2 linked regions of the Oryctolagus cuniculus genome follow. The protein of the gene in region 1 purifies or fractionates together with the protein of each later gene. This does not show direct contact. Links are inferred from orthologs where the notes say so. Each region holds a gene or a part of one and is shown on either strand. Other genes may lie near its edges.

Region 1 (9,051 bases):
CGTGGGCCTGCTCGAATGCCAGCAGCTTCTCCTGGAAGGTCAGGCACAGCGGGGCCGGGGGGCTGAGCAGAGGCGGCGGCTGGGGACCGGCGTCCGCGGGCCCCTCTGCAGAGGCAAGGGGGACACGTCAGAGCAGCCCACAATGCACTGCGGGAACCCGACCGCATCCCAGCACCCTGGCCACACAGCTCCAACAGCCTGAGCAGGGACCCGGGCGCAGGCTCCGGCTCACCTGGCGTGGAGGGGGCAGGGGGCCGGCGTGGCTCGGGCAGGCTGAGGGCGGCAGGTGGGGGCCGGGGCTGCTGGTGCGGCGTGGCCTTGAGCAGGCTCAGCTCCGTCCAGCCGTCCCCCTTGGCGTCATCCTCGTCCCGGGGGCCGGTGGCCCTGTCGATGAGCTGCGGGCAGAGCGGCGCTGAGCAGGGCACCTGGCGGCCGGCAGCCATGACCAAGCCCCAGCCCCCGCCAGCCCGGCCTTACCCGCTTCACGGCCAGTGTGGCAATGCCCAGCACAGCCGCGCCGCCCACACCCAGCACCAGGCGGGCGTTGGCCAGGAGGAAGTCCACGGCGCCGCCCAGGCCCTCGCCGCCACGCCGCTTCCCCCGCTTCTGGGAGAACTCCGCCATGGTCCACCTGCAGGGGAGCCGGGGGCGCGGGGTAGCTGCGGGGTGGGGGTGGGGCGGGGAGGGCACCTGGCTGGGCAGGCACAGGGGCTCTGGGGTCCACAAGGAGGAGCTTCTGGAAGATTCCTCGTGAGTCAGGGGCTGCTAGCAGGGCTTCCTGCACGGAGCCGGGGGAGCAGCCACGACCCCTCCCCAAACCGGCCAATAACCCAGCCCCTGGCAAAGGGGGCTCACACGGAGGCCCCTGGCAGAGGGTCCGGGCTGCCAGGAGCCATCATGTAGAAGGGCATTGAGCAGGGAACTCCAAAGATGAAGACCCCAAAGAGAGGGCCCCCTGGCTGTGGCCGGCTCAGCACAAGGTCAGGGTAGGGGATGGGGGGGCAGGGCCTCCTGGCTGTGGCCGGCTCCTCAAGAGGTCGGGGCGGGGTCGGGGGGTGGGGGTTGGCTGCAGGATGCTAAGCCAGATGCAGGCCTGGAGCCACAGCCCAGCTGGTAGGAGGTGAGCAGTGCCCGAGTGGAGGCAGAGAAGGCCCACGCCCACCCTGACCTCGGGCCCTGAGGGTGCAGGGGACGGGTGGCCAAGGGCACCCGGGAGCCTCAGCGTTGGACGGCGAGGTCACGGCCCGCCCTCCTGCTGCGCCCTGGGTGCCCTGCCCCCCCACTGCCCGGGGCAGCTGGAGCCCGAAGCTCTGTGTGACTCAGCCCGGGACACCTGCCTCTTAGCGCCAGACTAAAAATAAGACGGGGCTCCGGCGTCCTGGGGGAGGTCACGGGCCAGCCGGCTGACCCCCGCGGCCCCGGCCACGGACCAGCGCTGCCATCGGCCCCCAGGCCTCCACGCTGCCAAGTGCGTAAAGCACTTGAAATGCCCACCCCTCCAGCGCACGCGCACCTGCCCCAGCGAGGGCTCCGTGCCACCTAAGGGGTGGGGGGCGCGCAGGAACCGAGCAGTTAAAAATAACCCGCAAGCCGCCGGCGCTGGGCCCGGGCTTACCAGGCCGGCGCGGCAGTCCCTCGGTGGGCCGGTTCACAGGCGAGGACAACGGAGGCCTTGGGAAACCCAGTCAAGCACCCGAGCCGGGAACGGCAGGGCCGGGACTCGAACTCGGGGCTCACAGGAATCCTCCCGGGCCCCGCCCCCGGACGTGCGCCACACCTAGGGCTGGGGGACCCGGGATGCGGGTTGTCGGGGAGGCCCCGCCGGGCTCCCAGCCGTACCTGCGTCGCGGCGTCCACACACCGACCGGACCACGCAGCGGGCCCGCCGGGACCCGGCGCCGGAACCCGCCTGCGGATGGAACGTGAAGGACCCGGGCCCCGAAGGCCGAGGCGCTGGCGTAGGCAGACGAGCAGGCCCTAGCTCCAATCGGAGCGCTCGGCTTCTTCAGGGGCGTTCCAAAACACTGCGAGGTTCGGCCAATGAGGGGCCTGCCACGCCCCTTCTCCGCCCTGCGCGCTCCCTCGGAGGCGGGGCTTTCCGGGGGCACTCCGGATTTAAAGGCGCAGGGCTGCATTATTGGGCCCGCAACGTTTGCGTGGTGCCTGCTTGGAGCCCACAGAGGCGCGGGGGATGCGTGCGCGTGTGCGTGTGTGATGTGAGCCTCCCGCGTGGAGGAAGCTGGCTGGGCCCCAGTTTCCTTCCTCTGGCCGGGCAGACGGGTGGTAGCACCTGGTCCAAAGGCCTGCACGCCGACCCCTAAGTCACCTTTGCGGGAGCGCCTTAGCACCTGTCTGCGCGCGGGGTAGGGGGTGTGCCGCCGGCCCCGTGCGTCCCTGGGCCTGCCCTCTGTCCGCCTGGGCCTCAGTTTCCCGTGCCGTACAATGGGGACGTAGGCAGCGCCCCTGGGAAGGGTGGTTTGCATGCGGGCCTTAATGAGAACCACCTGCCACGCACCAAGCACCTGCTGCGTGCTTCGAGCCGCACGTGCGCGCGTGGTCACTCGCTGCCGGCCACCACCTTGGTAGGGTGAGGAAGGTGGGGCCGCCCCGGCTCCGCACGGAGACCGCCGGGGACCCCTTGTGCGCGGACGCAGAGTGCGAGGCCCCCAGAGCGCAAGGCCCCCGGGCCCCGGCGAGGTCCCCAGAGCGCAAGGCCCAGGGCCCCGGCGAGGTCCCCAGAGCGCAAGGCCCCGGGCCCCGGCGAGGTCCCCAGAGCGCAAGGCCCAGGGCCCCGGCGAGGTCCCCAGAGCGCAAGGCCCCGGGCCCCGGCGAGGTCCCCAGAGCGCAAGGCCCAGGGCCCCGGCGAGGTCCCCAGAGCGCAAGGCCCCGGGCCCCGGCGAGGCCCGAGGTGCCGGCGGCGGCGGGCGCGGGCGGGTTAACGGGGCGGAGTCGGCGCTGGCCCAGCCCGCGGCTCCCGAGCCGCCCCCAGCGCCCGGCCGGCCCGGCAGCGAGAGCGGCGCCGCCATGGAGGCCACCGGGGTGCTGCCGTTCGTGCGCGGCGTGGACCTCAGCGGCAACGACTTCAAGGTGAGCGGCGATCCGGGCTCGGCGCGGGCACCACCTCGCCCGCCTCCGGCCACACTGCGGGCGGCGGCCGGGGCTCTGCGGGCCTCCCCACCGCAGCCCGCAGCCGGCACCCCGGGCCTCCGCCCAGCGTCCCCCCGCGGGAAGGCCGAGCCCGAGCGGCGCGGGCCCAGGCCGGGGGAGGGCGTGGGCGCTGCGGGCCTGCGCACCGCCGCCCCGGGGGTCTCACGGCCCAGCCGGCCGCTGACTCAGGGCCGCCGCTGCCTTGGCTGCCCAAGGGCGGGCCCGGAGGCGGCTCATCACCGCCCTGCGCTCCATCCTGTGTGGTCTTGGGCAAGTCACTTCCCCTCTCCCGGGCCTGGGTTTTTCTCATCCGGAGAAGGGACTCGAGTCTACCCTGCGAGTGTAGACTTGCGGTCTGGACGCTCTGGCTGGGGGGAGGTTCTCAATATGGGTAGGGGCGCCCAGAGCCAGAGCCAGGTGGGCGGGGCTTCCGGCCGGTGATGGGCAACCTCTGGCCTGTCCACTTAGGCGTCTCAGGGTGTGGGGCGGAGGCCGGCGGGCTCCTGTCCAGCCTGTGTTGTCCACATCTGTGCTGTCCCATCTCCGTTCCTCGTCCCGACCTCAGCCATCCCCACTTGGGGTCTCCACGCTTCTCCCCTGGGCTTGGGCGGGCCTGAGTCACCAGCTGGGAATGTGGCCGGTGGGGGGAGGGGCACAGCCCCTGGGCACTGGCTGCAGCGGCTGCCCCAGACTCGGCCACGAGGGCTGGGGGGGGGGTGTTGGGGAGGGGAACACGGGGAAGGAAGGAGGTGGCACCCACTCGGGCAGGGTTGGGAGAGGGGGACACAGGGCAGGGGACCTTGCTAGGAGTGGCCAGGGTGCTGAGGGTACGGGGTGGGGGTGGGGTCCCACAGCCCAGGCAGACCCAGAGTATGGGGCCCAGGAATTTGAGCTAAGCTCACCACACAATGGGGGGGCCAGGATATCCCCATTTTGCTTGGCCCCTCCTGGGGCTCAAGGGCAGTAGCAGAGACCCTCTTAGGCCTCCGCTCTGGCCCCTGGAGCCTCCACGGGTAGGGGAGGGGCTTGGGCCAGTAGGGAGGGCTCCCCTGGAGGGGGCGGGGCCTGTGGGGAGGATCTTGTGGTTGTTGAGAGTTGGCTGTGTGGCCTCCCTCAAATGTGCCCACGGGCAGGGGGAGCCCTCTCCCAGGCCAGCCTCAGCACACCCCCACCCCCACCCCAGGGTGGCTACTTCCCTGAGAATGTCAAGTCCATGACAAGCCTACGATGGCTGAAGCTGAACCGCACAGGCCTCTGCTACCTGCCCGAGGAGCTAGCCGCCCTGCAGAAGCTGGTGAGGAGGGGTGGGGTCTGTGGGGAGGAGGGGCGGGGCCTTGGGAGGATCTGGCAGACAGGGAGGGGATGAGCGCCCCGTCCTGGGAGGTGTGCAAGAAGCTGGGTCTGAGCAGGAAGGAGGCTGTGGGGGCGTCCTGGGCTGGCGCTGGCCGTCTGGGGCTGTGCAGAGCAGGGGTGGCAGGTGGGGACTGTGGATACCCCCGCCCCGCCCCACTGAGCCTCCGCTGCCCCGCCCTGGCACAGGAGCACCTGTCCGTGAGCCACAACAACCTCACCACGCTTCACGGGGAGCTGTCCAGCCTGCCTTCTCTGCGGGTGAGTGCGGCGGGTGCCGGACCCCAGGCAGGGCCCGGCCGGCTTCTCTGCCAGGCTCCGGGCTCTGGGGCCCTTTGTCGTGGGTGGACGTGGCGTGGTCCCTGTGGGTGGGGACAGCTCCACGGGTGCCAGGCATGCCGAGTGGACGTCCACGTCCCCCCATGCCTGACGGTGTCGCAGATGAGGACATGGCCACAGGCGCAGGTCACTCGCCCAAGGCCACACAGCCGGGCAGCCGAACAGCTGGAGTCGGGGGGGCGGGGTTTGGCCAGTGGGCGCTCTTCCCTGCTGGATGTTAGACTGCTGGCCGGGCCCTCGGAGCCTCAGGGAGGTGGCCCTGGCCCCGGCTGGAGCCTCAGCCCTGGGAGCTCCCCCGGAGCCAAGCCGGGCTCTGCCACTCCCAGCTGTGTGGCCTGGGACAAGTCCCTTCTGCAGATGGGGTGGCTGGGAGGGCCAGTGGGGACCCCGTGGGCAACCGCACAGCGCTGCGGAGGTGGCAGGGGCGGCCCCGGGGTCGCATGGGTCCCCGCTCTGTCCCCGACCTTAGGGAGGGAAGCATTTCCGGTCAGCCCACGTTGCCCTCTCTTCACTCCAGCCCCCTCCATCTGTCCTAGCCACCCTCACTCCAAACCGCACCCCATCTTCCTGAATGAACAGGAGGGGTGTCTGATCAGAAACATCTGGGGTTTCCGTGCTGGGCTCTGGGGCACATTTGGGTTTTGAAGCGTGAATAGGAGCTCACCGCGGGAGGCTGTAGAGCAGAGACAGGGCAGGCCCAAAGGGGCCCACCTCTGCCTCTGCCTCTGCCTCTTCCCGGGGCGGGGGGTGGAAGCCAGGAAGCAGGGACTCTCGTGGTCTACCCGCAGGCCATCGTGGCTCGAGCCAACCAGCTGAAGAACTCCGGAGTCCCTGACGACATCTTCAAGTTGGAGGACCTTTCTGTCCTGGTCAGTGGCTGCCCGCCCAGCTGCCCCCTGCCAGCCTCTTGGTCCAGTCCCCACCCATCGCGATGGCCCCTGGGCCCACTGTTAGCCCAGTTTACAGACGGGAAGACTGAGGCCGGAGCGGGCCTTGCCCGAGGTCACGCCTGGAGTCCCAGCCCTAGCCCAAACGCCCCTCTGCCCGAGGCCCCAGCCGCTTTGGCCCTGAGACCCCCTCATGCCCTGGCTCTCAGTGCCTTACCTCATCGCCAAGGTTGGCAGAAGCAGGGTGGGGGCGGGGACGCCCCGACCTGGGATTTGGCCCGTCTCCCTAGGACCTGAGCCACAACCAGCTGACCGAGTGCCCGCGGGAGCTGGAGAACGCCAGGAACATGCTGGTGCTCAACCTCAGCCACAACAGGTGCCCGGCCAGCCGCGCGCACGTGCCGGGGGGCGGGGGTGGGGTGGGGACGGGGCTGGAGGGCTGGGGCCGGGGACCTGAGGCCGGGGCTGGGCGTGAGTGTCCCCACCCCGAGGACTCAGGCAGCGCCGTCCCCCGCCCCGCCCACAGCATCGACACCATCCCCAACCAGCTGTTCATCAACCTCACCGACCTGCTGTACCTGGACCTCAGTGAGAACCGGCTGGAGAGCCTGCCCCCGCAGATGCGCCGCCTGGTGCACCTGCAGACGCTGGTGCTCAACGGGAACCCGCTGCTGCACGCGCAGCTCCGGTGGGCGCCCGGCTCGCTCCCCTCCCCGCCCCCGCCCCTGGGGTACACGGGGCGCCCCGCCCCTGCCCCTGACCGCCTGTGTGTGTCACCCACCCCTCCCCCAGGCAGCTCCCGGCCATGACAGCCCTGCAGACGCTGCACCTGCGCAACACCCAGCGCACCCAGAGCAACCTGCCCACCAGCCTGGAGGGCCTGAGCAACCTCGCAGGTGACCCCCCCACCCCCCGCGCCGCCTCCCGTGCTCAGACCCCACGCCCCCTCCCCTCCCCGGGAGAAGGGCACGGTTGCGTTGGGATTGTGGCTGTCCGTCTGTCACAGCCCTGGGGCCACCAGCAGCCGGTGCGGGCCCTTGGTGATCCACTCAGGCTGAGTGGCTTTGTCCAGAGAGAAACAGCTTGGAAAGGTTGTCCCTAGCCTACAGCGACACAGCCCGGGGCTGGCCACCCGGTACCTACTGTGGCCCCCGGCTGGCTCATGCTCCCACGCCCCCTCCCCTGCCCAGACGTGGACCTGTCGTGCAACGACCTGACCAGGGTGCCCGAGTGCCTGTACACCCTGCCCAGCCTGCGCCGCCTCAACCTTAGCAGCAACCAGATCCCGGAGCTGTCCCTGTGCATCGACCAGTGGGTGCACCTGGAGACCCTGAACCTGTCCCGCAACCAGCTCACCTCCCTGCCCGTGCGTCTGGGCCTGGGGCCACGCGGGAGGGCCGGAGGGGAGGGAGACGTTGGGCTGCTGGGCCCCAGCCTGGCCCTGACCGCTCGCCTTCCCCCCCCCCCCCGCCGCTGCCCTGCGCCCCCCGCAGTCGGCCATCTGCAAGCTGACCAAGCTGAAGAAGCTGTACCTGAACTCCAACAAGCTGGACTTCGATGGGCTGCCCTCCAGCATCGGCAAGCTGAGCAGCCTGGAGGAGTTCATGGCCACCAACAACAACCTGGAGCTGATCCCGGAGAGCCTCTGCAGGTGCTGCGCCGGGAGGGGCGGGGCCACGCGGGGGGCGGGGCTACACCGGGGGTGGGGGCCCGAGGCTGCTCCCACCTTCTACAGGGTCACGGTGCCCGCGAACTTGGGCTCCTGGCGCTGAGATGGCCCTCAGGCAGAGAGCAGGGACCCCTGCCCTGCCCTGCCCTGCCCGGTGCTCCTTCCCCGCCCCGCCCGGCCCCGCATCCGTGCCTCCTTCCCAAGGCCCCGGCCAGCTCTGTCCTCCCAGGTGCCCGAAGCTGCGGAAGCTGGTCTTGAACAAGAACCGCCTGGTGACCCTCCCGGAGGCCATCCACTTCCTCACGGAGCTCCAGGTGGGGGCGCCGGGTGGAGGCCACCGTGCAAGGCCCCCCTCCCTCCCAGGGGTGGGCAGACGGGAGCCAGGGCCTGGTTGTGGTGCGGCCGGGAGAGTGGACCCCAGGCAAGGCTGCAGCTCTGTCCCCGTGCCCCGCACCCAGGTCCTGGACGTGCGCGAGAACCCCAGCCTGGTGATGCCGCCCAAGCCGGCCGACCGAGCCGCCGAGTGCTACAACATCGACTTCTCGCTGCAGAACCAGCTGCGGCTGGCGGGCGCCTCCCCTGCCACAGTGGCCGCGGCCGCAGCCGGTGAGTTGGGGGGGTTGGAGGGGTGGGGGCGCCCTGGCCTTTGGGAAGCAGGGGGTTCCTAACGGATGCTGGGATGTTGCCCTGGGGCCCCTGCTTGGCTGGATGCCCGAGGGGGCGTGGCCCAGTCGGTCCCCAGGTGCTCACCCCGCCCCCGCCCCCGCCCCCAGCAGGGAGCGGGCCCAAGGACCCCCTGGCTCGCAAGATGCGGCTCCGGAGACGCAAGGACTCGGCCCAGGATGACCAGGCTAAGCAGGTGTTGAAGGGCATGTCGGACGTGGCCCAGGAGAAGAACAAGAAGCAAGAGGTGAGCAGGGGACCCTGAGGTGTGGACAGCAGGGGGGCGGCCATCCCGGGGGCCCTGACCACCCCGACGCCCGCCCCCTCCCCCTCCCCAGGAGAGCGCGGAGGCGCGGACCTCGGCGGCCAAGGCGCGACGCTGGGACCAGGGCCTGGAGAAGCCGCGCCTGGACTACTCGGAGTTCTTCACGGAGGACGTGGGCCAGCTGCCCGGGCTGACCGTCTGGCAGATCGAGAACTTCGTGCCGGTGCTGGTGGAGGAGGCCTTCCACGGCAAGTTCTACGAAGCCGACTGCTACATCGTGCTCAAGGTGGGGCTCCCTCGCCTGGCCCTGGTGGTGGGGCGGAGGTGGGGGGCGGCGGCCCAGGGAGACTGACCCAGCCGTGCCTCGGCTCCCAGACCTTCCTGGACGACAGCGGCTCCCTGAACTGGGAGATCTACTACTGGATCGGCGGGGAGGCCACGCTGGACAAGAAGGCTTGCTCTGCCATCCACGCCGTCAACCTGCGCAACTGCCTGGGTGCCGAGTGCCGCACCGTGCGGGAGGAGATGGGGGATGAGAGCGAGGAGTTCCTGCAGGTGCCGGGCCCCCCGCCAGCCGGCACGGAGGGGAGGCCCCGGGGCCAGGGGAGCGGGCGCCCATGCAAGCCAGACCCAGGGACTGAGCAGGGAGCAGGGAGGCCTGGTTGAAGGGGTGTGGCCAGGAGAGATGAGGAACCGGGACCAATAGCGGCTGGAGGTGGGGCCGCAAGGGG
Region 2 (8,443 bases), on another chromosome or scaffold:
CTGGGCATGGTGAAGTTGTGCTTGTGAACTGCTGATGCTACTTCACGCTTCCGCTTGGGGAGCTTGAAGAGAGATGTGAATGAGTGTGTGAGTGAAAGGAGGCGCTTTGAGTCACTGCCTGGAACAGGGAGCTTCCTGTAGCACAGATCTGCAGGTCCAGCAGTTGTAGTGAGTGCCGTTTTCTTAGTACTTGGACAGCCATAGGAAACCCCTAGGACCTTCAGTCCAATAAAGTAACTATGCTAAAGAAACAGGTGGGTTTTTTTTTTTGTGTGTGTGTGTGGGGGGGGCTATTAAAAGGGTATGCTTATGGTTAAGGTATAAATTATTTAGGGTATCTTTATTTTATATGTTACACAATAATGTGTCCTTTTAACTTTTAAAAATTAAATGCTTTGGAGAAAATTTTAGGATTTCATGTCACTAAGAAATAATACAGAGAGATCCTGCATACTGTTTCCCCAGTTTTCTCCAATGTAGCATCTTCCAAAACTGTAGTACAGTGTCCCAGCTGGAACATTGACCTTGATATAGGCAACTAACATTTCCGTCATCATAAGAGATCTTTCCCCTTGCTCTTTTATAGCCATGTCTATTACCCCTATGCCCAAGCCCTGGGAGCCATGAGTCTGCTCCCTGTTTCTATAATTTTACATTTTAAGGATGTTAAACAAATGCAGTCATATAGTACATAACCTTTTGGAATTAGCTTTATCACAGCCTAAGCCCTCTCAGGATCCATCCACGTTGTTTGTATTGATAGGTTATACCTCCCTTTTTATTGAATTCAAAAAATTGTGCTAAGGTGACATAGAATGTTATTTTAACCATTTTTCATTTTGACAGTTTTTTTTAAAGTTTTATTTATTTGAAAGGCCGAGTGACAGTGATAGGGATAGAGAGATCTTTCATTTCCTGATTTACTTCCCAAATGACTGCAGTGGCCAAGAGCCAGGAGCTTCATGGGGCTATCCACATGAGTGATTGGCCCAAGTACTTGGGCCATCGTCTGCTCCTTTCCTAGGCACATTAGCAGGGAGCTGGATTGGAAGTGGAGCAGTTGGGGCATGAAGTGGTGCCCATAGGGGATGCTGGTGTTGCAGGCAGCAGCTTAACCTGCTGTACCACAGTGCCAGCCCCCATTTTGACATTTAAAAGACACATTTTTAGTATGGTCAGTGACTACCTGCAGGGATGGGGAGCAGCTGCCCGCAGGCCCTATAAGGCCCTGCCACAGCAGCCTTAGCCAGGACTCAAAATTCCATAAATCTATAGTAGGCTAGTTTGTTTGTTTGTTTATTTATTTATTTATTTTGTTTGAAAGGCAGAGTTACAAAGAGGTAGAGGCAGAGAGAGAGAGAGATCTTCCATCTGTTGGTTCACTCCCCAAATGGATGCAATGTCCAGAACTGTGCCGATCTGAACCAGGAGCCAAGAGCTTCTTCCAGATCTCCCATGTGGGCATAGCAGCCCAAGGACTTGGAACATCTTCTACTGCTTTCCCAGGCCACAGCAGAGAGCTGGATGGGAAATGGAGCAGCAGGGACTCGAACCAGCACCCATATGGGATGCTATACCACAATGCTAGCCCCTAATCGGCTAGTGTTTAAGTTGGTAATTTTGTGTGGCCCATGAATGATGCTATAAATGTCCAGTGGCCCTTGGCAGAAAAAAGGTTCCCCACCCCGACTGCATCATTTGTCTTTAGTATAATTTTTAAGACTAAATTTAGTGAAGATTAAATGAAGAAACATGTCTGTTTCCAGACTGAAGTTCAGTTTTGCTTAGTTCTTCCTTCACTGAACTCAGGGGTCTTGCCTGCAGCTCTGTGGCAGTTTGAGCAGCAGGTGCCCATAAAAAGGGGAGCATGAAGGACTTTTATCTGTGAGGTGCACCCTAAGCTCTTTTTTTGTTTTTAAAGATTTATTTATTTATTTGAAAGAGTAACACACAGAGGAAAAGAGAGGGAGAGAGGTCTTCATCCGCTGGTTCACTCCCCAGTTGGCCACAACGGCTGGAGCTGCACCAATCTGAAGCCAGGAGCCAGGAGCTTCCTCCGGGTTTTCCCACATGAGTACAGAGGCCCAAGGACTTAGGCCATCTTCTACTGCTTTCCCAGGCCATAACTGAGAGCCGAATTGGAAACAGAACAGCCGGGACTCAAACCGGTGCCCAGCTAGGATGCCGGCCCTGCAGGCAGCAGCTTCCCTGCCATGCCACAGCGCTGGCCCCGCATAAACTTTGTGACTAAGATGTTTGTGCCCCAATGCAGTTATGTGGAGGGTTAACCTATTGCCCCAAAGCTCAGCCCATTGTGTCTATCCTTTTGGTGTCTTTGATGTAGTGTTTGAGGTTGGGTCAAGGATAAAGTTATTTAGATCTCCACAAACATATACTTTTTGCCCTAAAAAAATTACTGTAGGAACTATTGTTGCATACAAACAGAAGGATGATAGTTATATGGTCAGGTAATACAGAGGCTTTCAGATTATAAAGCATTTTAGTACTCTTCAGACTTTGTGGTAAACTGGGCAGATTCATAGGATATATTTTGTTTTCCCATCTATGATTTTGGGAAGATGAAATTAAAAAGTTCAAGAGTAAAAATAAAACCCAGTGGTATAAGATGTGGAAGAAGAGCAAATATGCCGTGGCGTTTGCTGGAATTCTTAGTTTCACGTTGGTTTGTTGCTTTAGAGGTGTTTTGCATGTCATGGTGTTGTTTCATGGCGAGCATGCTGTGGTGTGGTGGTGCATGGCGTGAGCGCATGCCGCTGTCAATAACCAGGAATATCTAACCCAGCGGAGAGGAACGTAGTGTCAGTGGGTGGTCTAGTACTCTGCCTTGTTCTGCAGGTGTTTTCTTTGTTATTAATGTAGTGGAATCTCACAGCTACAGTGGCGTCTTTTTTTTTTTTTTTTTTTTTTTTTTTTTTTATCTTTGACAAGCAGAGTGGACAGTGAGAGAGAGAGAGACAGAGAGAAAGGTCTTCCTTTATCATTGGTTCACCCTCCAGTGGCCGCCGCGGCTGGCATGCTGCGGCCGGCGCACCATGCTGATCCGATGGCAGGAGCCAGGTGCTTCTCCTGGTCTCCCATGGGGTGCAGGGCCCAAGCACCTGGGCCATCCTCCACTGTACTCCCGGGCCACAGCAGAGAGCTGGCCTGGAAGAGGGGCAACTGGGACAGAATCCGGCGCCCCGACCGGGACTAGAACCCGGTGTGCCGGCGCCGCAAGGTGGAGGATTAGCCTAGTGAGCCGCGGCGCCAGCTACAGTGACGTCTTAGAGTAAATGCCTATGCCAGAAACTCCAGTTATTAGCTTGCAAGCAGACCTGAGACACATCCAACGGTGTGAAAATAAATCATGGAAAGGACATTAGATGTTGACCTTGTGGTTTGGATAAGGAAAGAGGGGACTCACCCTGTGGACTATTTTTTCCACCATCAGCTGGTCTGATAGGAACATGATGCAGCCTTCGTGGGACTGGATATAAAAAACTGTTTGCACGAGCTTTGAAACCAAAACTAACTGGATCAATTTTCTGGCATTTCTAAAACTTACTGTGACTTTGGACAAAAACAAACAAATTCGTCTTTTTCAGTCTCAGTTTTCCAGTTTGTAAAATAAGGATAAGACATAGTAGTACATTATAGGAAATGTCAAGGAGGTGATATGTGTAAGGGAGAAATTGTATCTGATATATATGATACAGACATATATTATGTCTGTGATATAATTTATGCCACATACGTGGTACTTGTTACCACTCCTTCTTTGTTTATTCTCAAATTGGTTGCAGAATGATTGTAATGATATTTTAAAATATTCAACTATTCAGCTGTCAGTTAATGAAGCAGTTGTCCTTTTTTTAAAGATGCATTTATTTTACAGGCCGAGTCAGAGAGAAAGAGTGACACACATACACACACACACTCCTTCCATCCACTGGTTCACTTCCCAGTGGCCAGGACAGCTAGGGCTGGGCCAAGCCAAAACCAGTAGCCAGGAGCTTCATCTGCGCCTCCCCCTTGGATGACTGCTGCTCTCCCTAGGCACGTTCTCCGAGAGCTGAATCAGACGAGGGGCAGCCAGGACAAGAACCAGTGTTCATATGGGATGCTGGTGTCACGGGCGGTGGCTCTATATGCTAAGCCACAGCACCGTCCCTGCCCCACTTCTAAACCCAGTCATCGACAGAGAAAAGTTACTTGTTGTAGTTCATCTTGACTTATTGCAAATGCTGGCAGAAAAGATTAAGTATATGAAAAATATACTAGCTCAGCTGTCAGATTCCTGCACACACTGCTTGGCATGGTTTGAAGTGTGGATATTTTATCACATAATCAAAGGAAACTGATATCTCACGGATCACCAAAGCATGTTCCTGCCTCACTGTCCTCCTCAGCCCAGCAGTTGTGGGATGAGGACGTGCAGGGAATTCTCGTGTTTTTTGCTTAGTTTGTTTTGATTTGAGTGGTAGGGTGTGTGAGCAGCAGTGCTGCCGTCCGCTGGTTCACTCTCCAGATGCCCGGGAGCCTGGACTTGTTCCAGCTTTCCCACGTGAGTGCTGAGAACTCCGGTACTCGAAGCATCAGCGCTGCGTCCCAGGCCCTGCATTAGGAGGAAGGTAGAGTCAGGAGCTCTGACGTGGGGCGTGGGTGCCCGAACCAGCTTAGCCGCAGGCCTAAATTCTGCCCCCGTGTCGGGAACTTTACAGCTGGGAACGTCAGCCTGCTTTTCCTGAGCCTTCCCTGCTGTCTGGGGCACTCTGGCAATGATTGTGCTGAGTCCACCTCTCAGCCTCTGGCCGTGGGATGGTGCTCGTGTTGCCCTCTGGTTTTTAAATGAGGACACGGAGGCATGGCTGAACTAAGTATGTGCCAGGACCGAGATCTTGACACTAAAACCCATAATCTGTCCCCGCCACAGCTGGGCTCTATTCATTTTGTTTTTGTTTTTCAAAATTTGAAAATGTATCAGAAAACCAAGTGAATCTTAATTGTATTTAACTAAATTCACAGAAGTAGATTCTTGAGAATCCTTTTGAAGAGGAGTTATTTTAAATTAATTGGTATTTGAGTATTTTGCTGTAGTATTTGCATATAATCATACAGTCAATATTTAATTAAAATACCTTGTATATACTATTTTCCCCTGAATCTCTAATTTTTTTTAAATCAGGTATATTCTTGAATAAGTGATTTTACTTAAACATAACATATTTTGTTCACCAAGTGAAAATGTGCTGAGGAGGTCAGTAAGGGAATACTTTTAACTCTTGCTACTTTGTTCATCTTCCTTTTGCTTTAAATTTTTTTAATGACTGGAAGGGAACCTGTTCTTACCAAATTGCTGCACGAGGACCACTTCATGTGTAGACTCTTCTGTGTTTCTTCTCTCCCTGACTGCTGGTTTCCAAGCTGTAACTGCTTCCTTGCTTTTTGATGCCCTTGTCTCTGCTGGTTGGAATTAGTTACCTTTCACTTGCTCTTTTCTGTGCCATTCTTTCCCTCGCTACCCCGCCTGAAACCAGGCCCTAGAGAAACAGAAGGAACACGCTGCCTGCCTCAGGGATGAGCGCGATGCGCTCCGAGAGGAGCTGGCTGACCTGCGGGAGACAGTGCAGACCGGAGAGGTACGTTAGCATGAGCCCGCAGCTGTCCTCTGTCTGTCTTCTCTCGTCCTGGCGTCTCTCGTGCCAGTCCACCAGCAGCCTGTTCCCCCGTTCAGACCTGGTAGGAGCGTGTTTTTCCGCAGAGCTCTTCTTCACATGCCGATTCTAAGCAGGTTGTGCTGTGGCAAGCGTGTGTTGTTGCAGAGTGACCTCACAGCGCTTACTGCTTGGCGTGCGCATCGTTTGTGATGGTGGGTTTTTTCTTTCCCACAGAAACATGGCTTAGTTATAATTCCCGATGGCACTCCCAATGGTGATGTCAATCACGAACCAGTGGTTGGAGCCATCACCGTTGTGTCTCAGGAAGCTGCTCAGGTCTTGGAGTCAGCAGGCGAAGGGCCACTAGGTAAGACACTGCCTGTTCTGGTGACTTGGGTTAATGTCGCCCTGTCGGGCTTCCAGCTTGTTGTCAACATCCCAGCTTGGAAAACGCAGACAGCGCAAGGCCTGAGACTGACCTCGACGCTTCACTGGAAGAATCTGGGCACTAGCACCTTTGGCCTTGGGGAAGTAGCACCTGGGTCCCGGTAACTGTGGCTGTGGGTCCTCTGGGCAGAAGCACCGTGGGTTTACATGAACTGCCTTTTCGCTTCTGCAGACTTCCTGCAGAGACCGTCTAGCACTCCCGTCCCAGGGAAGCAGTGGGCTGGCAGAACCCTTCGCATGTGTGTTTTAAATGTCTTCTTCCACTGCGTACCCCAGAGCTCTGTAGCCCTTTGCCTGCACATTTCTTAATGCACAAAACAGAGGACAGGAAGACAGACGTCAGAGGAGTGGGACATCCAGAACACGGTTTCTAAGCCTGTGACAGTCTAAGCCTCTTAGCCTCTCATCCAACCCTTTTGGGGTCTAATGATAGCTGCCCCTGTCAGCCACAAAGGGGGCCAACCGTTGCAGCCCAGGACCCTACACCAGAGGAAGAAAAACGACACAGATACTGTGTCATCACCTCACTTTTGTTTATGAAGAAGCAGTCTTCCCCAGCTCGTGTTCATGTATGCATAGGTTGCCTGGAGGCGTATGAGACACTAACAGTGGAGGCTGAAAACCATTTGAAAAGTCAGCAGGCACATTCTGTGATGTGCTCAATCCTGAAGTTTGACTGTAGAGCGCTTCAGTGAAGCAGAGAGTGTGCCGAGCGCGAGGGAGCTAGAGAGTGGACCTCTCCATGTGTGGAAGATGCCGGAGAAACCAGACTCACTTTGGCCCTGATCCTGACTGGTGGTGGGGCTTGGTTGGCCAAGTGTCAGCTGCTGCTTTAACTGAACTCCTGGTGTTTGCTCAGCCCAGGGGGCCTATTTTAATGCAGGCTTGTGAAGAAGCAACCCTTTCGTCTGACAGGCCAGGAGCCAACCCTCAGCGTCCTGCTTCCAAACCTCAGATTCGCCCTTGGACCACATCGGAGAGTCGGTCCCCCCCCCTCCCTCTGCTGGCTTTGTGGGACTTGGCCATTTGCAGCGTTGTATTCCTCTGTTTTCTTTAGTCCAGCTCCCTCTTCTTCCTGTGCCTTGTCCCACTCCCACCCTCTGTCTGCTTTATTTATTTATCTATTTTAAGATTTCTTTATCTGAAAGAGTTACACAGACAGAGAAGGAGAGACAGAGAGGTCTTCCATCTGCTGGTTCACTTCCCAATGGGCCACAACAACTTGAGCTGCGCTGATCCAAGCCAGGAGCCAGGAGCTTCTTCTGGGTCTTCCACGCGGGTGCAGGGACCCAAGGCCTTGGGCCATCTTCTACTGCTTTCCCAGGCCATAGCAGAGCTGGATCAGAAGAGGAGCAGCCGGGACTTGAACCGGTGCTCAAATGGGATGCTGGTCCTGCAGGCAGCGGCCCTACCTGCTACAGCTCCGGTCCCCTCTGTCTACTTTCAAGTGCTTTGATTGCCCTCGCTGAGTGAGGGAGGGCTTGAGCTTGGGACGGCACCCATGGCATTTGAGTTGCCTGCGTGCTGGTGAAAGCATGCAGATTTTTAAAACACGAAGCTTCTCTCTTTTGTACTTTGGCTTGTCGTTAAGAAAGTGGGAAAATGTTTTGGGGAGCAAATGTATTTGGTGCCCCAACAAATTAAGTATTCCTCTGTAATTGCATTAGAGCCTTTATTTCTTTGATATTCAGAGCTGTAATGTAACTGATCAGATAATACTTGCTGTTTATGAATTTGAAGAATTATTTTTCATACAAATTTATTCTTCATTACAAATTTAGTTCACAACCTTTTACATTTGTTTTAGATGTAAGGCTACGAAAACTTGCTGGGGAAAAGGAGGAGCTACTGTCACAGGTAAGAAGATTCTTACTCGGAGATAATACTAAGTTTAATGACATTATATTGTAAAATGTTGGCCAACTGAAATGTTTTTTAGAAAGAATTGTGCTTATTTCAAACGTTGATATTCGAGTGAGATTTAAAGGATAAAAAAATTCTTGTTTTGCTTCCCGTTTGTTAAATTTAAAGATGTTCAGTCTAATAACTTCTGTGGTTCTGCCAAGTTTGCTGTGAAGACAGCAGCCTCCTGGAGGGATCCTTCTCCGTCCCCCTGACCATGCCTGCTCCATTCCTTAGTCTGATTCTCTGGGTGTGTGCCGTCCTCGGGTAACTCTGGAACGTGACTGTTGTGTTTCGGGCATTCTCTGTGGACATCCCTCTGGGGAGACGAGCTTAGCCGTCTTTCCTCTCCGATCCCTGCCATGTGTCTCTCCCGCTGCCTTCTGCTGCTAATGAAGGAAGTGCCATTCCAGGCTGTGTATGTCGTTAGAACTTTT

What was found.
Region 2: the proteins of FLII (region 1) and LRRFIP2 purify together in Homo sapiens (affinity purification with mass spectrometry; 3 studies listed by BioGRID and IntAct, with this or other methods). This does not show direct contact. The link is inferred for Oryctolagus cuniculus from reciprocal best matches to the Homo sapiens genes FLII and LRRFIP2.

What each region holds. Positions count from the first base shown.
Region 1 is NC_091448.1:62,265,050-62,274,100, forward strand, and holds the start of FLII (protein flightless-1 homolog), read left to right. Parts: upstream 1-2,929; 5' UTR 2,930-3,024; coding exon 3,025-3,087; intron 3,088-4,330; coding exon 4,331-4,441; intron 4,442-4,686; coding exon 4,687-4,758; intron 4,759-5,624; coding exon 5,625-5,705; intron 5,706-6,013; coding exon 6,014-6,099; intron 6,100-6,249; coding exon 6,250-6,411; intron 6,412-6,515; coding exon 6,516-6,619; intron 6,620-6,913; coding exon 6,914-7,089; intron 7,090-7,216; coding exon 7,217-7,374; intron 7,375-7,621; coding exon 7,622-7,706; intron 7,707-7,850; coding exon 7,851-7,998; intron 7,999-8,165; coding exon 8,166-8,302; intron 8,303-8,393; coding exon 8,394-8,606; intron 8,607-8,695; coding exon 8,696-8,875; intron 8,876-9,051. Other genes in the region: MIEF2 (mitochondrial dynamics protein MID49), read right to left, coding at 1-105, 233-395, 478-624. UniProt on the Homo sapiens protein: Is a regulator of actin polymerization, required for proper myofibril organization and regulation of the length of sarcomeric thin filaments. It also plays a role in the assembly of cardiomyocyte cell adhesion complexes.
Region 2 is NC_091435.1:173,416,894-173,425,336, reverse strand, and holds part of LRRFIP2 (leucine-rich repeat flightless-interacting protein 2), read left to right. Parts: intron 1-3,864; exon of another isoform or gene 3,865-4,615; intron 4,616-5,349; exon of another isoform or gene 5,350-5,537; coding exon 5,538-5,639; exon of another isoform or gene 5,640-5,891; coding exon 5,892-6,024; intron 6,025-7,762; exon of another isoform or gene 7,763-7,911; coding exon 7,912-7,961; exon of another isoform or gene 7,962-8,443. UniProt on the Homo sapiens protein: May function as activator of the canonical Wnt signaling pathway, in association with DVL3, upstream of CTNNB1/beta-catenin.